Linked DNA regions of Mus musculus. The protein of the gene in region 1 purifies or fractionates together with the protein of each later gene. This does not show direct contact. Links are inferred from orthologs where the notes say so. Each region holds a gene or a part of one and is shown on either strand. Other genes may lie near its edges.

Region 1 (5,652 bases):
AATATACTAGGAAATAATAATGCACTTTAGAGTAAATAAATATTTTATGGTTTCTTTGTGGGTTATGTTGTTTTGAGGTAGGGTCTCCTGTAATCCAGACCAGCTGCAAACTTGTCATGTGGTTGTGGCTGGCCTTGAACTCACTGTCCTTTCTCAGCCTCCTGAGTGCTTGGGTTATAGATAGATATCACCATACCTGGCTAAGTATGGGACTTCACAGATTGTTTTTCATGTGTATCAGGAGATGAAGAGGAAGAAATGGATCATCAAGAGGAAGGAAAAGAGCAGCTTTCCGAAGTGGAAGGCAGTGGTGAGGACGATCAGGGAGATGACCATAGCGAGAGCGCCCAAAAGGTGAAAGGCCAGCCGAGGCACAAGAGGCTCTTTACCTTCAGCCTCGTGAACTCCTGTGGAACTGCTGATATCAATTCACTGGCAACTGACGGGAAACTCCTCAAACTCAACTGTAAGTGCTTGCTTGCCCCTTCAGGTAGACTTGGGGCACATAAGAGCTCTTTAGGAATCGTGTTACTTCATATCCCCTACATCAGGTGGTAACTCTTTATGTAGCTCTAGGGTCAGACATTTGAGTGCCTTGGAGAACGGTTGAGGACACACATCTCTCAAAGGAGTTTTACCCTGTTCCCTTCGGTAGTAGAGTGGCAAGTTTAAGACAAGCCCCCCCCCCATTTTTGTTTTTGTTTTTGTTTTTCGAGACAGGGTTTCTCTGTGTAGCCCTGGCTGTCCTGGCACTCACTTTGTAGACCAGGCTGGCCTCGAACTCAGAAATTCGCCTGCCTCTGCCTCCCGAGTGCTGGGATTAAAGGCGTGCGCCACCACGCTCGCCCCCCCCCCCCATTTTTATGTGTTGACATTTTACCTACTTGTATGTCTGTGCACCATGTTTGTGCCTGGTATCAGTGGACACCAGAAGACAGCATTAAATCTCCTACAATGGAAATTACTGCTGTGAACCACCAAGTGGATGCTGGGACCTGAACTCTACAAGAGCAAGAAGTATTCCTCACCATCTCTAACCCCAGGAGGTTCTAACCCAGACTTCCTATGTAGCTGATGCTGGCCTTGAACTTCTGACCTTCCTGTCTCTATCTCTTGAGTCTTTAGATTTCAGGCATATGCCACTATGCCCAGCTGTCACCTTAATCCTTGATGTTCATGACCTCAGAAGCAAACAGGCTTCCATTGCTCTGCGAGAGCTTTCCTCTGGCTCAGTGATTCTTAGGGTCATGCTAGGAGCATTTCTGTAGACTTGCTTCACTCATAAGAATAGGTGCATTTGTCTCTTTGTTCCGTAAAAATACTTAATTGTATATGATGAAGCTAGAGGTAGTTGTGGATTGTAATCAGGACAGCGCTTGGGCGCTTGGGGAAAAAGCATCTCTAGGGGTGTGGACATGCATCATGTGCGATGCCTCCATGGGCAGGGCGGACGCTGCACCCTTTGTCTTCTACCTTAACTACTTATGTTAGTTTCCCCCCCTTCCCCTTCCCCTCCTCCCCCCCTTGCCCTTCCTTCCCTTCATTTTTTTTTTTTTTAATTTTTTACCTTCCCTTCATTTTAATTAAAAAAAATTTTTTTTTGTTTTGTTTTTTCGAGACAGTGTTTCTCTGTATCCCTGGCCTCAAATTCACAGAGATCCATGCCTCTGCCCTCCAAGTGCTGGGTATTAAAGGTGCCTGCCACCATTACCCAGCTTTAATTTTAAAAATTAGATTCTGGGGCTGGAGAGATGGCTCAGCGGTTAAGAGCACTGACTGCTCTTCCGAAGGTCTTGAGTTCAATTACCAGCAACCACATGGTGGCTCACAACCATCTGTAATGGGATCCAATGCCCTCTTCTGGTGTGTCTGAAGGGAACAACAGTGTACTCACATAAAGTAAATACATAAATAAATCTTTAAAAAAAAAATTAGATTCTATGTGTTTGAGTGTTTTCCTGCATATATGTATGTGTACTATGTGTGCCTGGGACCTGCAGAGGAACTAAAGCTGTAATAAATTATGAGCTCCCGCCTTGGGTGTTAGGGACTGAACCCTAGTGTTCTACAAGAGTAATAAATGATCTCTTACTACTGAGCCATCTTTCCAGCCCAACCCATACCTTTCAAAAAAATTTTATGTGAATGGGTATTTTACATGTATATATATGTGTGCACCATATGAGTGCCTGCAGAGGCCAGAAGAGGGCATCCGATCCCCCGGGACTGGAATTTCAGACAATCAAGAGCCTTTGGGTGCTGGTAATTGAACCTGGGTCTTCAGGAAGAGCAGACAGGGCACTTAGCTGTCAAGCCATCTTTCCAGCCTCCTCCAGCTTTTTAAATGTTTCATGTATTTATCAAGACTAAGGACTGACCTCAGGAACTTGCACATACAAGGCAGAGGCTCTAGCACTCACTGTAGTTCCTGGTTCCCTTTACACAGTCTTTTATCTGAGTTTTTATTGCTGCCTGTCTGTAAGCTTACTACATGCATGCCTCGTGCTCACAGAGCCCAGGAGAGGTTGTCAGATCCCCAGAAACTAGAACTACAGACTACTGTGAGCCACTGTGTGGGTGTAGGGAGCTGAGCTTGGGTACTCTATAAGAGCAGAAAATGCTCTTAATCTCTGAGCCATATCTACACTCCCATTTACATTTTTATTTTGTTGTTTTGTTTTGTTTTTCGAGACATGGTTTCTCTGTGTAGCTCTGGCTGTCCTGGAACTCACTCTGTAGACCAGGCTGGCCTCAAACTCAGAAATCCGCCTGTCAGATTCTGGGTTTTGGGGGTTATCTGTAATATTAGGGGAGACTTTGAAGCTGTGGGAGGTTGAGATTCAAAAAGGCTGCCCCAGGTTCTAGCATTGCTCTCCTCAGTGGCTGGTGGTGGGTGAGCAGGTGTGGTGCTGCTGCCTGAGTGTGGCCCTTCTCACTTGGAGAGCCTCTCCTGGTGTTGGTCATTCCATAATGAGTGACACTATGGTCCCCTCCACAGCTCGATCCACACTGGCCATTGACTGGGACAGTGAGACCCGAAGCCTTTACTTTGATGAGCAAGAATCTGAGGTATGTCATTTGGGGTTTGTGGTCAGTGCTGTGTTCTGGCTTCTGCTCTGAAAATACATTGATGTTCATCTCATTGATTGGACAACAGTTAAATTTTCCTTATGACTTGAAATGAAAAGCACCCAAGACTGCCATTCTGTGTGCAGAGACTGCAGAAAGCACGGTATATTCCAGGCAGAGCTTGAGCATCCCGTGAGCCGCCAGGAGGCTTCACAGCAGAACTCAGTGCTTCTCTCCGCAGGCCTGTGAGAAGCACCTGAGCATGTCACAGCCGCAGAAGAAGAAGAAGGCGGCAGTAGCCCTGCGAGAGTGCATCGAGCTCTTCACCACCATGGAGACCCTTGGGGAGCATGACCCCTGGTATGCAAGTCCCCGAGCTCTGAGCAGGGGACCTATGTACCCTAGGCTCTGAGGTTTGCTGGGACCACCTGTGTGCACAGAAACCTCCTCCTGTGCCTGGACAGGTCATCTTTTCTTAAGCAGTTCTGTAAATATTTGTGTGTGAGAGACGACTGTTTGCTGGACTGAGAAAAGCCACTGCTCTGATGAGAAGGCAGGGGTTTGTTCATAAGTCCTGGGGTTGAGTCCTGCCTGGAAGGTCTCCTTGTGACCTCCTGCTGCCCTGGCTAAGTAAGTCTCTTCTGTCTTTAGGTACTGTCCCACCTGTAAGAAGCACCAGCAGGCAACAAAGAAGTTTGACTTGTGGTCTTTGCCCAAGATCCTGGTGGTTCACCTCAAGCGTTTCTCCTATAACAGATACTGGCGGGATAAACTTGACACCGTGGTGGAGTTCCCAGTCAGGTGGGTGTGTGCACAGGTGCTGAGGAGGGAGGTGAGAAGATAGATGCTGGAGTTAGATTGTAGTACTTGGCTCTGGGAGGTTGACTTGTGACTTGTGGAGCAATCCTTCCTTCCCCTACTCGTGGGAAAAGTCACTACTAGAAGAGTCCTGCTGATTGTGTCACTGCTGATCTGCTTGTATCCTCACACTGGTCTGTGGCCTGTCCTGGCCGTCATTGCTGTCAGGGAACTTGGCTTCAGCCAGGACAGCACAGGCTCAGTTCTGTTTCTTATTAACAGGGCGAGGCAACCAGGTTAGCCTACCCGCGGGAGCTGATGTTCAGCTGGGTGTGGTGTCGCATGCTTGTAATTCCTTGCTCGGGCAGGAGGATCATTGATTGAGTTTAAGGCCACCTTTGTAGTTAAAATTTTGTTTACTTTTTTTGTTTGTTTGTTTTGGTTTTTTGAGACAGAGTTTCTCTGTGCAGCCTGGGCAATCCTGGAACTCACTCTGTCATTCAGTGCCAGTCTTAGCCCCCTGAGTGCTGGGATTGAAGCCTGTGCCTCAGCCTGACTGTTATTTTTTACCTTTTCTTTATTTTTGAAAATTGTATAATGGGCTGGTGAGACTAGGCAGCTCATTGAGAATCCTTGACCCCCAAGCCTGCTGACCTGGATTTGTTCCCAGACTCAGGGTAGAAGCAGAGAACCAACTCCTAAAATTTGTCCCCAGCTCTTTCTGCAGTGTGGATTTCAGTGCAGAATACAGAGGTAATGCTAACATATCCAGTTTTTTGGCCCCCAACAACAATTCCCTAATGTCAGCAGAAAGTAATTATGCACGATTGAGTCACTCCCCTTATTCCTTTGAAGAGGCAGGCAGATTTCTGAGTTCGAGGCCAGCCTGGTCCACAGAGTGAGTTCCAGGACAGCCAGGGCTACACAGAGAAACCCTGTCTCGAAACACCAAAAAAAAAAAAAAAAAAACCAAAAACCAAAAAACAAAATGATGGAATGATAGCCTAGTCAGGTTAGAGCAGGTTCTTGCTCTCCAGTCTCTGTAGGATCATCTGGGGCTAGGGACATGCAGTTAGCAGTTGGAGCAATTTGCAGCCTTTAATTGACTAGAAATCTGCTCAAGCAGATACATATTAAGGGTAGAAGCTAAAGCTAAGGAGTTTGGGGAAATTTTTTTCTTAGGTGTGCATTAGAAACTTTTAGGCCCGTGGTCCTAGTAGTTGGGAACGGGAAGTCCCAAGACCAGGGAAAGGGGGAGAGGAGAGATCCCAGGCTCAGGACCAGGCAGGTGAGGAAACAGGCTGTTGACTGAGTCCATCTGGAGTCCATTTGACCTGTGAGAGGTCGATTCAAGGCGATTCCCTGAAGCTTCCAAGAATTGTTATTATTATTATTATTATTATTATTATTATTATTATTGGTTTTTTCAAGACAGGGTTTCTCTGTGTAGCCCTGGCTGTCCTGAAGCTCACTTTGTAGACCAGGCTGGCCTCGAACTCAGAAATCTGCCTGCCTCTGCCTCCCGAGTGCTGGGATTAAAGGCGTGCGCCACCACGCCTGGCTAGAATTATTTTTTTAAGTTTATAAAAAGTGATGTTTTAGGTATGTTAGTGTTAACCACTGTTTGTAATCTGTACTGAGAGCCACATGGTAGAGAGAGCAGCAGACTCATACCTTGCAGTCATAATAAAAGCTTAAGCACCCAGAAATAATTTGTTCTTACCCAGTTACTTTCTATGAGACACAGGTGGTTGAGTCCTGACAGTAGTCACTGTAAAGCGGGCT
Region 2 (5,652 bases), on another chromosome or scaffold:
AGACATTTTAAAGTGAAATTGATTATTAAAATTATATTTTTCTAGTTTCCTATCCTAATAACTCATAGCCAGTTTTTCAGTTACCGTGTTCCTTGGAGAGGGAGAGGGAAGGAGGGTTCCAGGCATGAGATGAGCATCAGGTTCTGAATATTTAAGAATAAAGATGAAATGTGTTTGTGAGATGTGCAAATGGAACATAGAAACAATGACGTCTCAAAGCCAAGAAGTTTAGCATCCTGATCTCATTTTCAATCTGTAGCCGCTTGGTTATGAAGCGCTCACCAACTGCCTGTTGGGTAGAGGCAGGGAAGCAGGCTTCAGGGTGTAGGCCGCTCAGCAGCGCTTCTAACAGCACATGCTTTTCCTTTTGGCACGGGGTCTCATGTAGCCCTGGCTCTGACTCCAATGACTGCTTTCATCTATTTAATAATCACTCGAATGAATTCACTGTGACTGATTATTGCGGATTTTCCTGTAAGACGGAAAGGGGGTTCCCTTCCATTGTGTGCTTTGAGGATGCTTACGGCTTGTTGATGTGTTTTTCCCCAGTGTCCATTTATGGAATTTGGTTTTATGATAAGGAAGAGTGCCAGAGAATTGCAAAACTAATGAAAAAGTAAGTATTAAAAGGCCAATCGTGTCCTAGGAGCTGGCACTGTGGCTCGTATTTCTAAATGTGTGAATCAACACTAGCAGGAAGTGGTTCTCAGCTGTCATCCTCACACGACCCCACCCCCACCCCACCCCACCCCACCCCACCCCCAGACCCTGTCACTGCTTAGCATATGAAGAGAGTGAGAAACAGTTTTGCCCTGCTCTCTGCAAACTCAGCTTCTGTGGCTTATTGTTCTCTCCATGTGCTGTGAGCTGTTCCGCGGGGTGGTTTTCTTTGGCATTTTCTTCATTTGTAAATAAGTAGTATTTTCTATGGAAAGTTATGTGTCCATCAGTAAAATGAACATGCAGGGTCACCCTGAAAGGCTGCCCAGAGCCTTTGATACCCTCCACTTCCTTCTAAACTGTGCTTGTAACTCAGAGTTCCCAGATACACCTCAAACACCAAGGGCCTAGAATCCTCCTCAGTCCCCCTCTCTGGGGAAGTCCGAATCAGTTCATGTTAGTTTAGCAGTCGGTACAGAATCAATCACCTCTCTCTCCCCATCTCCCCCCCCCCCACTACTCTTAGACTTATTAGTCTCTTTCTCTCAAGCTGTTCCTGAGGTACTCTCTGACTTTGGCTTCCTTAATTGGATCACAAGGAGGCTCAGGTGCGATTGATTGGTGGGCTCTGACCAGTTCCGACTTGGCTGCTCACTGTCGGCTGCTGTTTATGCAAATAGCCAAGGTCATCAGAATTAATCAAATTCCTAATGGGGCTGGGTCTCTGTTTAGGATAGCTAGTCCCCATGTGGACGTGATGCTCGTCCTGCAAAGAACCAGTATTCGCTTCTACATCCCAGGGCAATGGAATGAAGAAGTGACCCCCACAAGGAAATAAAAACCAGGGAACACATTTTTATAAATAAAATTGACTCCTGAAACTCCTGCTTGTGAGAGCTAATTTTAGGCAACCAGCTCAAGTCCCAGATGGTGATTAAGTGTGTTCAAACTGGTATTTACCACCATAACAACTAGTTCCTTAAACATTTCATGGTGTTGTAAATTGTGCAAGGGACAATAATAGCCGGATTTCATATGGATTAAAAAATACCCTGTAACTCAGCCAAGAGGTCATGGTAAACCTGGTGCGTGCCTCACCCCTCAGGCAGGAAGCCGATTGTAGATAGCAAGGAGCAGTTGATCTGTGTGGATTCAGATGCATTCTCTAGTTAGAAGGAAATCTGTTGGTAACTTTGCAGGTCATACTTTACCAGTATCTGCATAGTTAACATAAGAATTTGAGCTGAAAAATCAAAGCACACAAAGAAAAGGACTTAAAAAAATGTTTCCCTGTAGCATTTAGGACCATGAGGTCAGTGTTCGAATGGGACCTTTTCGATTCTGAATCGCCAAGGTCTGAGGTGGTACAGCCCACCTTGCTTGACCTCACAGCATTCTGGAAGGGAAGGAGTCTGTACCATAGAGATCTTCCCTGTTGAATGTTCTGTAAGGCTTCCTCCACAGTCAGCAGCCGCCCTGCGGCTGTAGTGTAAAAGCAGCCAGGACTGCTCTGTCCAGCAACGAGCAGGCCTGTGTTTGTTATTCTCTTTATTAGAACAGGTGGAGCAGGCTAGAGTCCAAAGGACAGAGCTTCTGATGTCCTACCCTGGATTTGCATATGTGGCCTGTTGGCTCAGGACCTCTTCTCTCATTTTCTGTTTCAAATGCTTAAGCAGTCCTAAGATGGTTGTAGTGGGATGAAAACCCTTGGGAGAGAGTTGGAGTGATAAATAGCATCGCTTTTGACTTTAGTTTCCTGAATCGCAGCTTCCCGTTTTTCTAGCCTCACTCAGAGCGAACAGTTGAAAGCCTGTCATGGAGCCGGATCCTCCCCCGTGACCTTGAGCTCAGGAGAGGGCCAAGAAGTAGATATCCTGCAGATGCTCACCAAGGCCAAGGATGAGTACACCAAGGTGAGTCTCCTCTTCCTCGTGGGGATACCACGGTGGCAAAGCCCACCACTGACGGCAGCAGGTGAAGTCAACAGAGCAGGATGTAGAGGGAGCCTAAGAAATCAGTGGCCTGCATACAAATGGTATCCAGTTAGAGGGCCTCCTAGACTTAGAGTGGCAACGTGTAAACCAAATTCATGTCTTTGTTGGTGGGTAGGCCTGTAATCCCAGAATTAGGGAAGCTGAAACAGGAGGATGGTGAGTTTCAGACTAGCCTGGACTACATAGTGAAGTATTTCATAACTCAAAGCATGAGCCCAGCAACATGGCTTGGTAGGACACCTGCCACCAAGCTTCATGGCCTGAGTTTGATCCTTGGGATCCACATGGTAGACGGGCAGAACCAAGTTCCACAAGGTCTCCTCTTCTGAACTCCACACATGCGCTGTGGTAATTTAAAAAGTAGAAATCAGAACAAAAGGCATAAAAGTAGACTTGAACAGACAAAAGTGTATGCCCTGTTCTAACATATATATGTTAGCTAAGGAGGTGTGTGTGTGTGTGTATGTGTGTGTGTGTGTGTGCATCCTAAGTATTAAGTAGAGATAGCAAAATTAGTTCATGGTTTGTTAAATAAAAACTACAGACTCCTGACTCCCTGAAAAGGCTGCAAAATGCTTGGCACCCAGTAGCAGTAAGCACCTCTGTTGCCCTGGGTGACCTCCTCCTAAGCTCGCGATGCTCTGTGAAGATGGTTCTGGTTGCTGGGCAAATGGGATCCTATGTAGTGGGCACTGTAGCCAGCTTACAAGAGTGTCACGAGAGCCCAGCAGCAGTGCAGACAGAGTGCTGGGTGTGGAGTTAAGTAATAATCCATGATGTCATGGTGACAATGACAGAGACAGCGTGGACCAAGTCTACCAAAAATAAACTATTGCTATCTTGTTTTGAAAGGACTCAGACACCAAACCTGCCTCTGACACTGATATTTAATTGAGTGCTGGAGTGCATACATGTGTGTATGCACATATATATACACACACACAGAGTCACAAACAAGCCACAGTTCACATGTAAAGGTCAGGACAGCTTTCAAAAGTCAGGTCCCTCAGCCCTGTGGGTTGTGGGTTCTGGGAACAAGCTAAGGTCATTGGTGATTTCAGGCATTAAACTCAGGTGGCCGGTGGCTGGGCCCCTTTCTCCCACTAGTCTTCTCATAGGTGTCACCTGATAATACTCCCTCTGTGCATTCTTCTTGGTAGTGAGCTCTAGGGGTCTTCAGACTTTCCATCACATGGTCTTTGGGGTATTTTCTAAGCATTGGAAACTGGTGTTGCTTCCTGAAAGTGCCTTCCTGCCTTTCCTCCCCTTTTGCACTCATCCAAACAAGGTGAGCCTTTCACAGTCCATCTCCTACCCATCATCACCAGGGCCACGCCCAACCTCCACAGCTGGATGGAAGGCTCTCCTGTTAGCATCAGTCGTACTGCATAAGTCCCGCCTGTGTTGTCACCTCTCCTGTGTGCATGTCACCTCTCCTTTGTGCATGTAGGCATGTTAGATGCATGCAGACAGTGTGCAGACCATTGGTAAAATAGGTCTGGTATGAAGAAGTGGGAAGTGGAAACAGTAATAAAACACACAAGTTTTTTTTTTCCTTAGAATTCTTGTGGACGGCATCTCCATTTTTGGACATGTTTAAAGCGGCATAGTGGAGATGTTGTAAAAGAATTAAACAAAGATTTCTAGAATCCTTTTTGACTGTGGAATTTGGTGGGGAGTTCAGTTTTGTATTTAAATTATTTTTAAAATTTCAATTAAAAAGTCAAATGTGTATAAATGAGGGCATACAACACGAGGCTTTGATACATACACGTTGTAGAGTGACTACATGAAGGGAATGAACACATACTTACCTTACGTGCTTAGCATTCTTGTGGTGAGAACACTTAAAATGCACTCTCAGCACCTTTCACAGATGCTGTTACTAGCTGTAGTCACTGTGGTGTGCGTGGGTCCTTTGAATCTCCTGCCCTGTCTGGTGTCTTATGAACATCCCCACAGTAGCCTGCGCCCCAAGCCTCTGACAGTCACTCTTACCCGCGTTTCGGCCGGCCAGGAAGAACACAACAAACCGGAATCTTCTGCGGCAAAAGCTTTATTGCTTACATCTTCAGGAGCCAGAGAGCAAGAGAGCAAGAGCCAGAGCAAGAGAGAGAAAAAGAACAAGAACAAGAAAGCAAGAGAGAGAAAGCAAAACCCCGTCCCTTTTAAGGAGAATTATCCTCCGCCTAGGACGTATTACTCCCTGATTGGCTGCAGCCCATCGGCCCAGTTGTCATCACGAGAAAGGCAGAACACATGGCGGGAAAACTGCCCCTGCACGTGTGCAGATTATGTTTACTACTTAAAACACAGCTGTCAGCGCCATCTTATAATGGCAAATGTGAGGGCGGCTCCCAACAAGTCACCATGCTCTGTGCCCTTGGAACTCTGCTTTTCTAGAGTCCACATAGAACTGATGTCACGTGACCTGTGTCTTTCTGGGCTGTGTTGACTCAACACCGTATCCTCCAGTTTTATCCACATGTGGTGGCAGAACTACTTTTTTTCTTTTTTGAAAATTAAATATCCCATGCATGTGTGTGTGTGAGAGAGAGACAGAGAGACAGAGGGAGACAGAGAGAGACAGAGAGAGACAGAGAGAGAGAGAGAGAGATTTCATCTATAGTCACACATAACGACCCATAGTCACACATTTAATTGACCCGTGTCTTGGCTGTTGTAAACGATGCTTCCGTGAACATGGAAGCACAGCTGTCTCTGGGACATAATGCTTTCATACCCTGTAGTTATGTGCCCAGAAGCTGAAGTGGGATTGTTAGGTCTTCTGGTAATTACATTTTTATGTTTTTGAGGAACTTTGAAAGGAACTTTCTACACAGGTTACCAACAGTACTGTGCCCGGGTTCCCGTTGCTCTACAGCAGCCCCAACACTTTGTTATCCTTTGCCTTTTTAAAATTATTTTTATTTGATGCATGTGCACATGTAGGCCCAGTGCCCACAGAAGTCAGAAGCGAGCATCAGATCTCCTGGAA

The links. The genes of interacting proteins can lie anywhere in the genome.
Region 2: the proteins of Usp4 (region 1) and Dcp1b purify together in Homo sapiens (co-immunoprecipitation; 3 studies listed by BioGRID and IntAct, with this or other methods). This does not show direct contact. The link is inferred for Mus musculus from reciprocal best matches to the Homo sapiens genes USP4 and DCP1B.

What each region holds. Positions count from the first base shown.
Region 1 is NC_000075.6:108,381,087-108,386,738, forward strand, and holds part of Usp4 (ubiquitin carboxyl-terminal hydrolase 4), read left to right. Parts: intron 1-241; coding exon 242-466; intron 467-2,998; coding exon 2,999-3,069; intron 3,070-3,295; coding exon of another isoform or gene 3,296-3,310; coding exon 3,311-3,429; intron 3,430-3,720; coding exon 3,721-3,870; intron 3,871-5,652.
Region 2 is NC_000072.6:119,198,379-119,204,030, forward strand, and holds part of Dcp1b (mRNA-decapping enzyme 1B), read left to right. Parts: intron 1-549; coding exon 550-616; intron 617-2,427; exon of another isoform or gene 2,428-2,443; coding exon 2,444-2,573; intron 2,574-5,652. UniProt on the Homo sapiens protein: May play a role in the degradation of mRNAs, both in normal mRNA turnover and in nonsense-mediated mRNA decay. May remove the 7-methyl guanine cap structure from mRNA molecules, yielding a 5'-phosphorylated mRNA fragment and 7m-GDP.